Oryctolagus cuniculus: one gene and its partners. The protein of the gene in region 2 purifies or fractionates together with the protein of the main gene of each other region. This does not show direct contact. Links are inferred from orthologs where the notes say so. Each region holds a gene or a part of one and is shown on either strand. Other genes may lie near its edges.

Evidence for each region. The genes of interacting proteins can lie anywhere in the genome.
Region 1: the proteins of HDAC11 (region 2) and GCFC2 purify together in Homo sapiens (co-immunoprecipitation; 3 studies listed by BioGRID and IntAct, counting the BioPlex papers as one, with this or other methods). This does not show direct contact. The link is inferred for Oryctolagus cuniculus from reciprocal best matches to the Homo sapiens genes HDAC11 and GCFC2.
Region 3: the proteins of HDAC11 (region 2) and ATG2B purify together in Homo sapiens (co-immunoprecipitation; 3 studies listed by BioGRID and IntAct, counting the BioPlex papers as one, with this or other methods). This does not show direct contact. The link is inferred for Oryctolagus cuniculus from reciprocal best matches to the Homo sapiens genes HDAC11 and ATG2B.

The regions. Positions count from the first base shown.
Region 1 is NC_091433.1:127,149,973-127,153,621, forward strand, and holds part of GCFC2 (intron Large complex component GCFC2), read left to right. Parts: intron 1-571; coding exon 572-669; intron 670-3,305; coding exon 3,306-3,418; intron 3,419-3,649.
Region 2 is NC_091441.1:108,657,315-108,660,963, reverse strand, and holds part of HDAC11 (histone deacetylase 11), read left to right. Parts: intron 1-320; coding exon 321-421; intron 422-3,649. UniProt on the Homo sapiens protein: Responsible for the deacetylation of lysine residues on the N-terminal part of the core histones (H2A, H2B, H3 and H4).
Region 3 is NC_091451.1:40,743,643-40,747,291, forward strand, and holds part of ATG2B (autophagy-related protein 2 homolog B), read right to left. Parts: intron 1,004-3,649; coding exon 841-1,003; intron 1-840. UniProt on the Homo sapiens protein: Lipid transfer protein required for both autophagosome formation and regulation of lipid droplet morphology and dispersion.

The DNA of each region.
Region 1 (3,649 bases), on a different chromosome or scaffold from region 2:
CAGAGATTCTATAGGTGTCATGCATTAAAATCTATCCTGCCATAAATAAAATGTCCTCTATCAATAATACTCAAGTCTCAAAGGATTATTTTCACATTTCTCATTTGTTACATACATGTTTTACTAAGGTTTTTGTTACTTCGAATAATATTTTTTCAAAATTAGACTGGTTTCTCATAACCCAGAAATTATTTTCAGTGTTTGAATTATTGGGTAAGAATTGAGAGATCTTTGATGAAGAAAACCAAACATTTCATTATTGGCTAGTTTTTTCCATGTGTGTAGCGATGATATTTTGAGTGGGGTAGTGGGGTGATAAGGATGCAGGTTTCAGAGTCTGATTACTGCAGCCTCACCAGAGTCCTTGTCAAGTTGTTTAATCTCCCAGTATCTTAGTTTCCTTATTTGTAAAATGAAGGCAATAATAATACCTTCTTCCCAGAATTATTGTGAAGAATAAGTAATAAGGAAAATGCTACTAAGCCTGCATATAGTAAACCCCTCAGAAGTATTAGCTGTGCAGATTAGAATGAAAAATATTGAATGTTTATATGTTATTTTTTTTCCCTAGCAAGCAGAATTGAAAACACAAGGGAAGAAATCCATGAAGGTGAAAATCAAGATATTTGGGAACAGCAACAAATGAGGAAAGCAATTAAAACCATACAGGTAATAAAAAGTATACCAGGTGAATTATGTTTCTGTAGCTGCTATAACAAATTAACACAAACTCTGGAACTGAAAGCAATTCTCTCCCACAATGTGGAGGCCCGAAATCTAAAATCAGTGTGTTGGCTGGGCTATGTTTCCTCTGAAGGCCCTGGAAAAGAATACTCCCTTGCTTTTTCCAACTTCTGATTGCTTTACATGGTCCTTGACTTGTAACTTCATAAGTCTTTTTCACTACTTTTGTCCTCACATGATAACCTTCTCTGTGTCTGCTCTGTGTATTTTTAATAAGGACGTTTATGATTGGATTTAGGGCCCGCCCAGTTAATCCAGGATGATTTCAATATCCTTCACTTAGTTATAACCACTAAGACCCTTTTTCCAAATAAGGCCATATTCACATATTCAGGGTTAAGATTTTGGTGTATCATTTGGAGATCACCATCCAGTCACATCTCACCACACTCCTTTGAATTTGCTGGAATACCTTCTAACACCAATTGGGAACCATAGGAGCCAGGAGCTACTTTTGGGTCTCCCACGCGGGTGCAGGGGTCCAGGGACTTGGACCATCTTCTACTGCTTTCCCAGGCTATAGCATAGAACCGGATTGGAAGTAGAGCAGCCAGGACTTGAACCGGTGCCCATATGGGATGCTCCCTGCAGGAGGCGGCTTCACCTGCTACACCACAGCGCCAGTCCAAAATCTCAGGCTTTTATCCTCAAGTATAGTTCTTGTTTGTTTTAAAGCTCACACTTGCTTAAACTTTAATTTTTTTTCTATTTTTTATTTTTTGACAGAGTTAGACAGTGAGAGAGAGAGAGAGAGAAAGGTCTTCCTTTTGCCGTTGGTTTACCCCCGAAGTGGCCGCTATGGCTGGCGCTTTGCGGCCAGCATGCTGCGCCGATCTGAAGCCAGGAGCCAGATGCTTCCTCCTGGTCTCCCATGCGGGTGCAGGGCCCAAGGACCTGGGCCATCCTCCACTGCACTCCTGGGACACAGCAGAGAGCTGGACTGGAAGAGGAGCAACCGGAACAGAATCCGGTGCCCAGACCGGGACTAGAACCTGGGGTGCGGGCGCTGTGGGCGGAGGAATAGCTTAGTGAGCTGTGGCGCCGGCCCACTTTCTTAAACTTTAATCACTCACTCCACACAGTATAAATTGTCTGTTTTTATAAAGTTAAAAATGATAGGGTCCCCAGAAATGGAAGGTGTTTATAATCTTCTGGAAAATGGACATAATATACACAATACAGCTGTCTTTTAAGAACATTGCAAGCAGGGCGATGATGAGCTGTGATTAGCCAGAGGACACTAATGTGAAATACACCATGTTACAAGATGAGAAATGCACCATGTTATCAGTGAGAAATGCATTATTCTGCGAGTACCAGAAATCCCAAATAACAGTGGCTTAAAGAAAAGTAAGAACTTTACCTAGAAACCTCCAGCATACTTAAATTTCCATTTACTTTTCATTGAATAGAATGGAGTTGGAGTTAAATGGCTTCTTCTTTTTCCCTTCGTTTTTTTTTAAAGATTTATTTGTTTGAAAGGCAAAAATAGAGGAGCCGGGAGTGGGGTGAGGGAGAGAGAAAGATCAAGAGAGATCTTCCATCCACTGACTCATTCCTCAAATGGTTATACCAGCTGCCGCTAGGCCAGGCTGAAGCCAAGAGCCAGGAGTTTCTTCCAGGTCTCCCTCATAGGAGCGAGGGCCCAGGTACTTGGGACATCTTCCGCTGCTTTCCCAGGTGCATCAGCAGGGAGCTGGATCAGAAGTGGAGCAGCCAAGACTCGAGCTGGTACCCAAGTAGGATGCCAGCACTGCAGGCAGAGGCTTAACCTTCTGGGTCACAGCTCCAGCCCCGATTGCTACTTCTGTAATAGAAGTAAGTGTGAATTTAATCAGACAGCTGTTTGTACCACAAAAAATAACACTCACCAAAGAATGTTGCTGCGTCAAAAACTGCACAACTTTCTTTTTTAAGAAACATTAGATTGTAAATAGATAACTTTAAAACCTTGAGGACTAGGCCAGCGCCGCGGCTCACTAGGCTAATCCTTCGCCTGCGGCGCCCGCACCCCGGGTTCTAGTCCCAGTCGGGGCGCTGGATTCTGTCCCGGTTGCTCCTCTTCCAGTCCAGCTCTCTGCTGTGGCCCAGGAATGCAGTGGAGGATGGCCCAGGTCCTGCACCTGCATGGGAGACCAGGAGAAGCACCTGGCTCCTGGCTTTAGATCAGCACGGTGTGCCTGCTGCAGCGCGCCAGCCACAGCGGCCATTGGGGAGTGAACCAATGGAAAAGGAAGACCTTTCTCTCTGTCTCTCTCACTGTCCACTCTGCCTGTCAAAAAAAAACAAACAAACAAACAAACAAAAAAAAAAACCTTGAGGACTAAACTTTTGAAAGACCAGGTTTAAATTTACCACTTACATATGAATTTAAAATTCCAAATTTTAAAAATGTTTTCATTTTAAAAAGATTTATTGTGACAGAGGCATGGGATTTATTACAGAGGCATGGGATTTTTGAACTGTAAGAGATCTTGGATTAACCTGTCTCCTTTGTGCTACTGATATTTGTAAGGTAAATTAAATGATTTCTAAGAAATAAATTTTCAAATTATTTTTAGAGAAGAGAAATAGACCTTTCCCACAGCGGGGCATCTCAAACTAAGAAGTTTGACACTTCTATTTCATTTCCACCGGTAAATTTAGAAATTATAAAGAAGCAGCTAAATACGAGGTGAGTAGTACTCATTTTGAAATTTCTATTTATCTTAGAATTTTAACAGTGAGAGCACTATATTATTTTAAATTAATAAATGTGTTTGCAAGAAAAAAGTGTCCCCAGTGTTGCCATACTAACACAACCGATGGCATTTTTTGTCTGTGTATTATATGGTGAAAATCAGTAAACACAAATCCCAGTTTTCTTTTTACTTATATGATTTATAAGCATTTGCTACCTTGTTAG
Region 2 (3,649 bases):
CTCTCTTTGGGGTGGAGAGAGAGGGGCAAGAGTGAGGCAGGTGGCAGGTGTGACAGAGAGGCGCCTTCAGAAGGGGGTGGGGGAGGTGCCGAGAAGACTCCCCTGGACAGTCAGTGCCATTGACTGTGCTTCCGGTGCCTCTGAGAGTTGTCCCGGCACACCTGAGCTCGCCTCGCCACTGCCAGTGACTGGGAACGCGAGGATCCCTGTGTGCAGGGTGTTCAGTGCCCACTCCTCCTGCACTGCAGGCGGCGGGAGGGCGGGGGTGGCCTTGGCCTTGAGCTCTGCGGGCAAGCAGGTGCTGGACCTTGTGCTTACAGAGGAGAAGCTGCTGACCGACAGCATGCTGGTGGAGGCGCGGGAGGCCTCGGAGGAGGACCTGCTGGTGGTGCACACGAGGCGCTATCTCAACGAGCTGAAGGTACGAGAGGGAGGGAGGGCCTGGCCTCACAGGGCCCCGAGAGAGAGGGAGAGGGAGATCCTAAAGAGATGAGCTCCAGGGAAGGGTGAGGTGCCCCACGGGCGATGAGCTCCCTGTCGGTAGCGGGGATGAAAGCAGGGATGTCACAGGGGCTTTGGGCTTCTGTGCGAGTGGGTTTTGATCTGTGCTCTGGACAGGCCTCGGAGACCCCTGCTGAGACCCCTTGTCCCCAATCCCACCAGAACTCTGCTGCTTTGGCCCAGGGCCCGACAAGGAGGCAGAGCAAGTTGGGGTGGGGTGCAGGGAAACACAGAAGTCTTGCCCCTTCTCGGGGAGTGCGGGCAGCCGTGGCTCCGCTCCGCATGGGCCCAGTGTGGCCAAGCCCTGGGTTTTCACAGAGAAGGCAGAGACCCAGGCTACTAAGCGGCATTTCTTAATGTGGCAGCTCCTTGTAAGATTTTCAAGTCCCTTCTGCAGACAGAACGAGGCCCACTGGCTGCCTGCGCGCTCTTTCCAGAGGTGGCTGCAGACTTCGGGGGGGAGGGGGGGCACTTTGTCCTGTTTGTGGGAGGGGGGCTGGGCTGGGGGTGTGTCGGAATCTGCCAGGCCACCCCAGTGGAAGTGGGTCCGCTTCCTCACTGGGCCCCCCATAGGCTCACTCCCAACCCCAAGGGAAGCCAGGGGTCACCAGGCCCCTGAGCTCCGTGCACAGAGAAGCCAAGGCTCAAGGTCACCGGGGAAGTGGGTCAGGCCTGGGGGAGTCTTCAGGTTCCGGGTCATGGCGGCTACCCTCCTCCTCCCCGCACCCCCGCCCCGGCCTCAGCTGTGAGAATTCCACACGGAGCTTCGAGGAGCTGAAAGATTACCAGGCAGAGGCTGGAACTGGCTCCCAGGAGGGAAAGGTGTGTGAGGCCTTGGCAGGAAGCCCAGTGCTGGGCTGTGCTGGTTTGCTGGGGCCCAGGCATGCGTGGTCACAGTCCACAGCCAGGATGAGCGGCCGGCCAGAGTCCGGCGGTGGGGGGAAGATGGGCAGGGAGGAAACAGAAGGAAGTGGAGCCCAGAGAAGACTGGGGGTGGGGGCGGGGCTCCAGGGCCCCACCCACCTGAGGTGCTTTCTGGAGAAGTGTTCAGGGCAGGTGCGTGCCTGGCCTTAACAGCCTACTGTGTGAATGTGATCCATAGCAATAGTTTTTTAAAAAGTACTAACAGGCAAAGCTCCAGGCAGAAAACGGAGGTCCAGGGTAGGAGGAGAATGTCGATAAGTCAGCTGGAAGGGTTCATCCGGATGGCGACCCAGATGCCCATTTGGCTTGGAGTTCTCTGGAAGCCAGAGCGAAAGGAGAAACTTGTGCGTTGCCTTTTCAGCCACCAAGATGAAGGAGTCTGTGAACGTGTGTGAGCGCACAGGGAGACTCCGATGGGGGCTCCCTGCTCCCACAGGCCTGCATTTGAGTTGTGGAAGACGGACAGTGCATTCCAGGGAGCGCCCAGGGCGGCCAGGCACAGGGGAATCAGCAAGTAGCCGTGCAGAGGTGGCGCGTTCGGAAAGCAGCGGTGGGTGACGCTGTGAGGGCGCCTGCTCCAGGCGCTCACCCCTGGCAGGGGCTGGCAGGCCGTGGGAACAGTGCGTTTGTCCAGGGCAGAGGCCGGTGACGTGGTGCTGTTCCTGTCACGCCCACGCACACAGCTGGCATCTGGGCTGCAGCTCTCGGCCCCTCCCTCACACCGACGATGAGGGTGGGTTTCCTGGGGCTGCTGCATGACCTGCACCCCTGCCCCACCCCCACCCCCACCCCTGTCCTGGGGTTCATGCCTGGCCCTGCACGGGTGTGGCCTCCACACCTGACTAGCAGGCCATGGAAGAAGCCCTAGCTGCATGTTTGCAGGGTGTTGCCAGGGCAGGGAAAGAGAGTTGAACACCTGCTGTGTGGGGGCCGAGAGGGAGCGCTCAGCACCGGGCTCTTGTCTCAGGGCAGAGACAGCCGGCCCCGGGGCGCACCTGATGTCCTGCCCCTCTGCCCAGCAGCCCGGGCCCTGTGCCCAGTCCCACCCACGTGCTATGAGGACAGGGTGGGACAGCAGACCAAACCCCTCTCCTGCTGTCCACACTGGCATAATCAGTGCATAGTGGCCCAGGGGGCTCGAAGGGGCTGAGGACCACGAGCAGAGGAAGGGGCAGGGAAAGGGGGTGACAGAGCTGGCGGGGGTGGGGCACATGGCAGTCTGAAATCCGAGTCCGGAAGGGGCGCCCTGGCGGGTGATCAGAGGCGATGTAGAAGGGGTGAGGGAGCGGGCGGCGTGGCTCTGGGGAATGATACTCCAAGCAGCAGGAGCAGCAAGTGCAAAGGCCCTGAGGCAGACACATTTCCCAGGTGTTCCAGTGATAGAGGGAGGGAGGCTTCCCCTCTGCACCTGGGTGGTAGAAACCCCACCCCGAAGAGTCTCTGGGGGGAATCAGATCCTGGGGTCCCTGACTCTCCTTCTCCAAGAGCCCCCTCTCTCCTTTTCTTCTGTTCTATTGTGTTACAGTTTACATAACATAAAACTAGCCGTTGGCTGCTTGAAAGTGTACAGTTCAGTGGTGTTCAGTCTGTTCACGACTGGTGCAGCTGCTGCCTCTGGGCAGTGCCGGGACACTCCCTGCACCCTGGAAGGAAGCCCTGTTCCCAGCAAGGTCACCCCCCAGCCTCCCCTGCCCCGCCCCAGGCATCACACAGCTCCCCGTCCCTAGGGATGCGCCTCTTCCGGGCGCTTCCTGTAAATGCAGTCGAATCTTCAAGATCCCCGGGGTCCAGCGGGTGTCAGCGCCTCAGTCCTGCTCACGGCTGCACGGGGTCCCCCAGATGGAGTCTCCTGCATTGTTTGCACCTGAATTGGTTTCTGGGTGTCTGTGCTGTTCCTGCCGGTGTGTCCATGTGAGCGTGCATTTGTCTGCTCCCCTGTTTGCGCTTCTTGGTGACGTAGTTGGCCCTGTGCATGGGTGGGCCCTGCGGCATTTCAGCCAACCGTGGGCTGAAAGTATGTAAGAAATGATGGGGCTGTCCTGAGCGTGCATAGGCTTCCCTCCCCCCGCCCCGTCACTCTCCCCTGGACAGTACAATAGAGCTACTGTCTCCCTAGCACTGGCCGTGCGTTAGGAAGCGCAGGCCATCTAGAGAGGCCTTAAAGTACGCAGGAGGATGTGCCTGGGAACTGCAGATCTTACGTTTTATAGAGAGGACGTGAGCA
Region 3 (3,649 bases), on a different chromosome or scaffold from region 2:
GCTCCCTGCTAATGAGCCTGGGAAAGCAGCAGAGGATGGCCAAAGTGCTTGGGCCCCTGCGCCCTTGTGGGAGACCCAGATGAAGCTCCTGGCTCTGGCCTGGCCCAGCCCTGGTCATTGTGGCCATTTGGGGAGTGAACCAGTAGATAACAGATCTCTCTCTCTCTCTCTCTCTCTCTGTCTCTCCTTATCTCTCTCTGTAATTCCACCTCTCAAATAAATAAATCTTAAAAAAAAAAATGTCCATATTATCTATCAGGGTGCCCGGTTTCCAGTAACCTAACTTTTTCAATTCCATATAACTGTCTGCCAGTCTTTTCCCTACAAGTAGGTATTCTACTATAAAGAGAATTCCCTTCTCCCTGCCCCCGTAGATGCCTATGTATCCATATCAGTATGGAATGAGGGTTTTTCTGGAATGTTGATGATTCATGACTGTTGTCATCCTTTTTAGATTCAAACCATCTGACCTGTCCAGCGTGAGCCCTTTCAAGCCCAGTGCTTTGTCCCTTTAACATTACCCCCCTAGTTCTGAAGCATTCCTCCTTGCTTCTGGCACAATACTCTGAATCTTTAAAAACACAAGGTATCAGCTACCTGCACACACCAAGTCATCTATAGAGTAACCTTCCTACGAATAAACATAGAGAAAAAAACTCTAAGTGTATGATCACAGACATTCTACACAGAGCCAAGTCCTAATATCTTACCAACCAAAAATCTCACAAGTACAGTGCAAGATAACACATCAGATCAAAAATGAATTTAATGTTAATTGGGCTGCTTTCCCAATCGCCGCAGGATTAAGAATGAAGTAAATCAGGCACGGGACACACCTACCTAGGCGCGGTCTCGGCCGGAAGACCATCTCTAAGCCCTTCACTTCCAGGGCACAGTTATCCTGCAGCAAGGAGCCCCATGGCACCGACAGAGAGATGGACTGGATGAATCCTTCTGTGACTTCTAAAGGCGCATCAGCCGACTCCAAGATTTCATTGAGGCTCTACAGAGAACAACAGAGTTCACTCTGAGATCACAGCACCAAGAACACAAATGCATTAACTAATTCGGAGACATCGAATGTGCACACGCTCTGTGTCAGGCACAAGGGGTAAAGAGAGCAGAGCCACCACAAGGTTGAGTCCGGTTCACATTATGCTTACAGGAGAAGTGACGTGAAAGGCACAGGTAATTAAAGTGTAGTGAGCTGTACAACCGAGGAAACACACTGTGCTATTTGAGCTCGTGATAGAACCTAGCTGGAGATTCAAGGCAGGGATCTGAGGAAGTGTTGTTTTAAGCTCAGACCACACAACTGAAAAGCAGTTCACCAGGTAAAGTGACCAGGACGGAGAAGCACACGTTTGAGATATGAGTATTTGAAAAAGAAATGCAGCATAGGCAGAAGAGCCAGAAATAAGGCTAAGAAGACTGAGAGACAGTAGGATCCAAAGAGCCTGTACTTGACATTGAAGAATCAGCCATACACCTTGAGAGCAATGGGAGAACTTCAGGCAAGGGCACCACATGAGATTCAAACTTTTAGTGAGGCTCCCCTGCTGCCATGTAGAGAATGAACTGGAAAAAAGCAAAACTGGGTATTTTCATCTAGGGCTCCGAAGAGCCATCTGGGCTATGGCTGCAGACAGGCACAGAGCAGGGGCAGGTCCTGGCCTGTGCTCGGGCGGCCCACATCCCACCCTGCAGCACCTGGGCTGGATGCCAGGCTGGGACTCCTGACTCCAGCTTCTTGCTAATGCAGACCGTGGGCGACAGCAGGGCTGGCTTAGGTGACTGGGTTTCTTCTACTAATGTGGGTGACCTGGTTTCTGGCTTCAGCCCCAGCCCAGCCTCAGTCACTGAAGGCATTTAGGAAGTGAACAGGTGGATGGGGGAGTGCTCTCGCCCCATGTGCTCGCTTGCTGCTCTCTCTCTCAAATTAACTAACCAGAGAGAGTAACTGACACAACAGAGGCCAGGACAGCCTCTGGGGACTTGCAACACAGAATGGCAGGAGACCTCAGACAGAGCCCTAAGAAACATCAACATTGAAAACATGTATTAACGGTGCTGGTGCTGTGGCGTAGTGGGTAGAGCCGTGGCCTCCAGTGCCAGCATCAAGTCCCAGCTGCTCCACTTCCGATCCAGCTCTCTGCCATGGCCTGGGAAAGCAGTAGAAGATGGACCAAGTCCTTGGGCCCCTGCACCCACACAGGAGACCTGGAGAAAGCTCCTGGCTCCTGGCTTCGGATCGGCCCAGCCCCAGCCGTTGCGGCCATCTGGGGAGTGACCCAGTGGATGGAAGATCGATCTCTCTGTCTGCCTCTCTGTAACTCTGCCTTTCAAATAAATAAATAAATATCTTTTTTAAAAAATGGGTTAAGAAAAAGGAGCTTGCAAAGTACACCACAGAGAAAAGCAGAGAAATGCAAGCAAGTCCGACAGAGCACAATGTCCCAGAAAGTCAAGACGAGAAGTCAAGGGCACTAAAATCCCAATCAGACTGCGACAGAAAGAAGGACAATTATCTGATTTCTTTTTCCACTTATCATGTACTTTTTATCAAATGCCAGCTTATAAGTAAGGTACTATATGCAAAGTTGCAGATCTTCGTCTACTCCCTAACACAAACAGTGCATTTTGGATTGGCTCCTGTTTTATAATCAGAGATCCTATTTTTAAAAGGCTTTCTTGCGGTCACAGACATGGTGCAGTGGGTTAAGCAGCACCTTATGACACCCTGTTCTAGTCCTGGCTGCTCCACTTCCGATCCAGCTCCCTGCCAATGTGCCCGAGGAAGGCATCAGAACACGGCCCAAGTACTCGGGCTCCTAACACCTAGGTGGGAGACTAGCATGTTGAGTTCCTGGATGCTGGCTCCAGCTGGGCCCAGATCCACCCATCAGGGCCATCTGGGGAGTGAACCAGCAGATCAAAGACGTCTCTGTCTCTTCCTCTCTGTTATTCTGCATTCCAAATAAATAAATAAGTCTTTTAAAAAAAAAAAGTTTCCTTCACACTGAGGTATTTGTATCCTAAAGACTTTCCACGGAGTATAAAGATATAGATGGCTCTAAGGCATAAACATCCAGATGTTTGGAAATATAGCTTTTCCTAAACTGAGAGAAGCAAGCACAGTGGTCTGGTCTCCTGTCCCCTAGTATCTGTACAACTTCTGTCCTCCCATTTAGTCAAAAAAGCCATTTCTTTTTTCCTTCCCAACCCCCTACCCCCTGTACAGTCCGAAGGCACAAAAACCTCCAGGCAAGGTTATCAGCATATTTTCTGGTCTTTTCCTATCTCACAGATGTTTTTTATTTCGGCACAACACAGAAATTCACATCAGTGGTTTTGTTACTGCAAAATCCTTCCATTCTCATCTTCCCCTTTATGACGTTAGCATTTCTCAAGCTTGCATCTATTTGTAAAATTGAAAACAAACGTGTGCTGAGCCCTAATGAATTTCAGTTAAGTTTATTTATCTATAGATGCATGAGGGGAAAACAACCCATCCATATCATTAAGAAATTTATTTCCAATAAAAGTTATTATGTTTTATGATCAAAATGTACATGTTGGGGCCAGCACTGTGGTGCAGCAGATTAAGAAACAGCCTGCAGCAGTGGCATCTCCTGTGGGTACCAGTTTA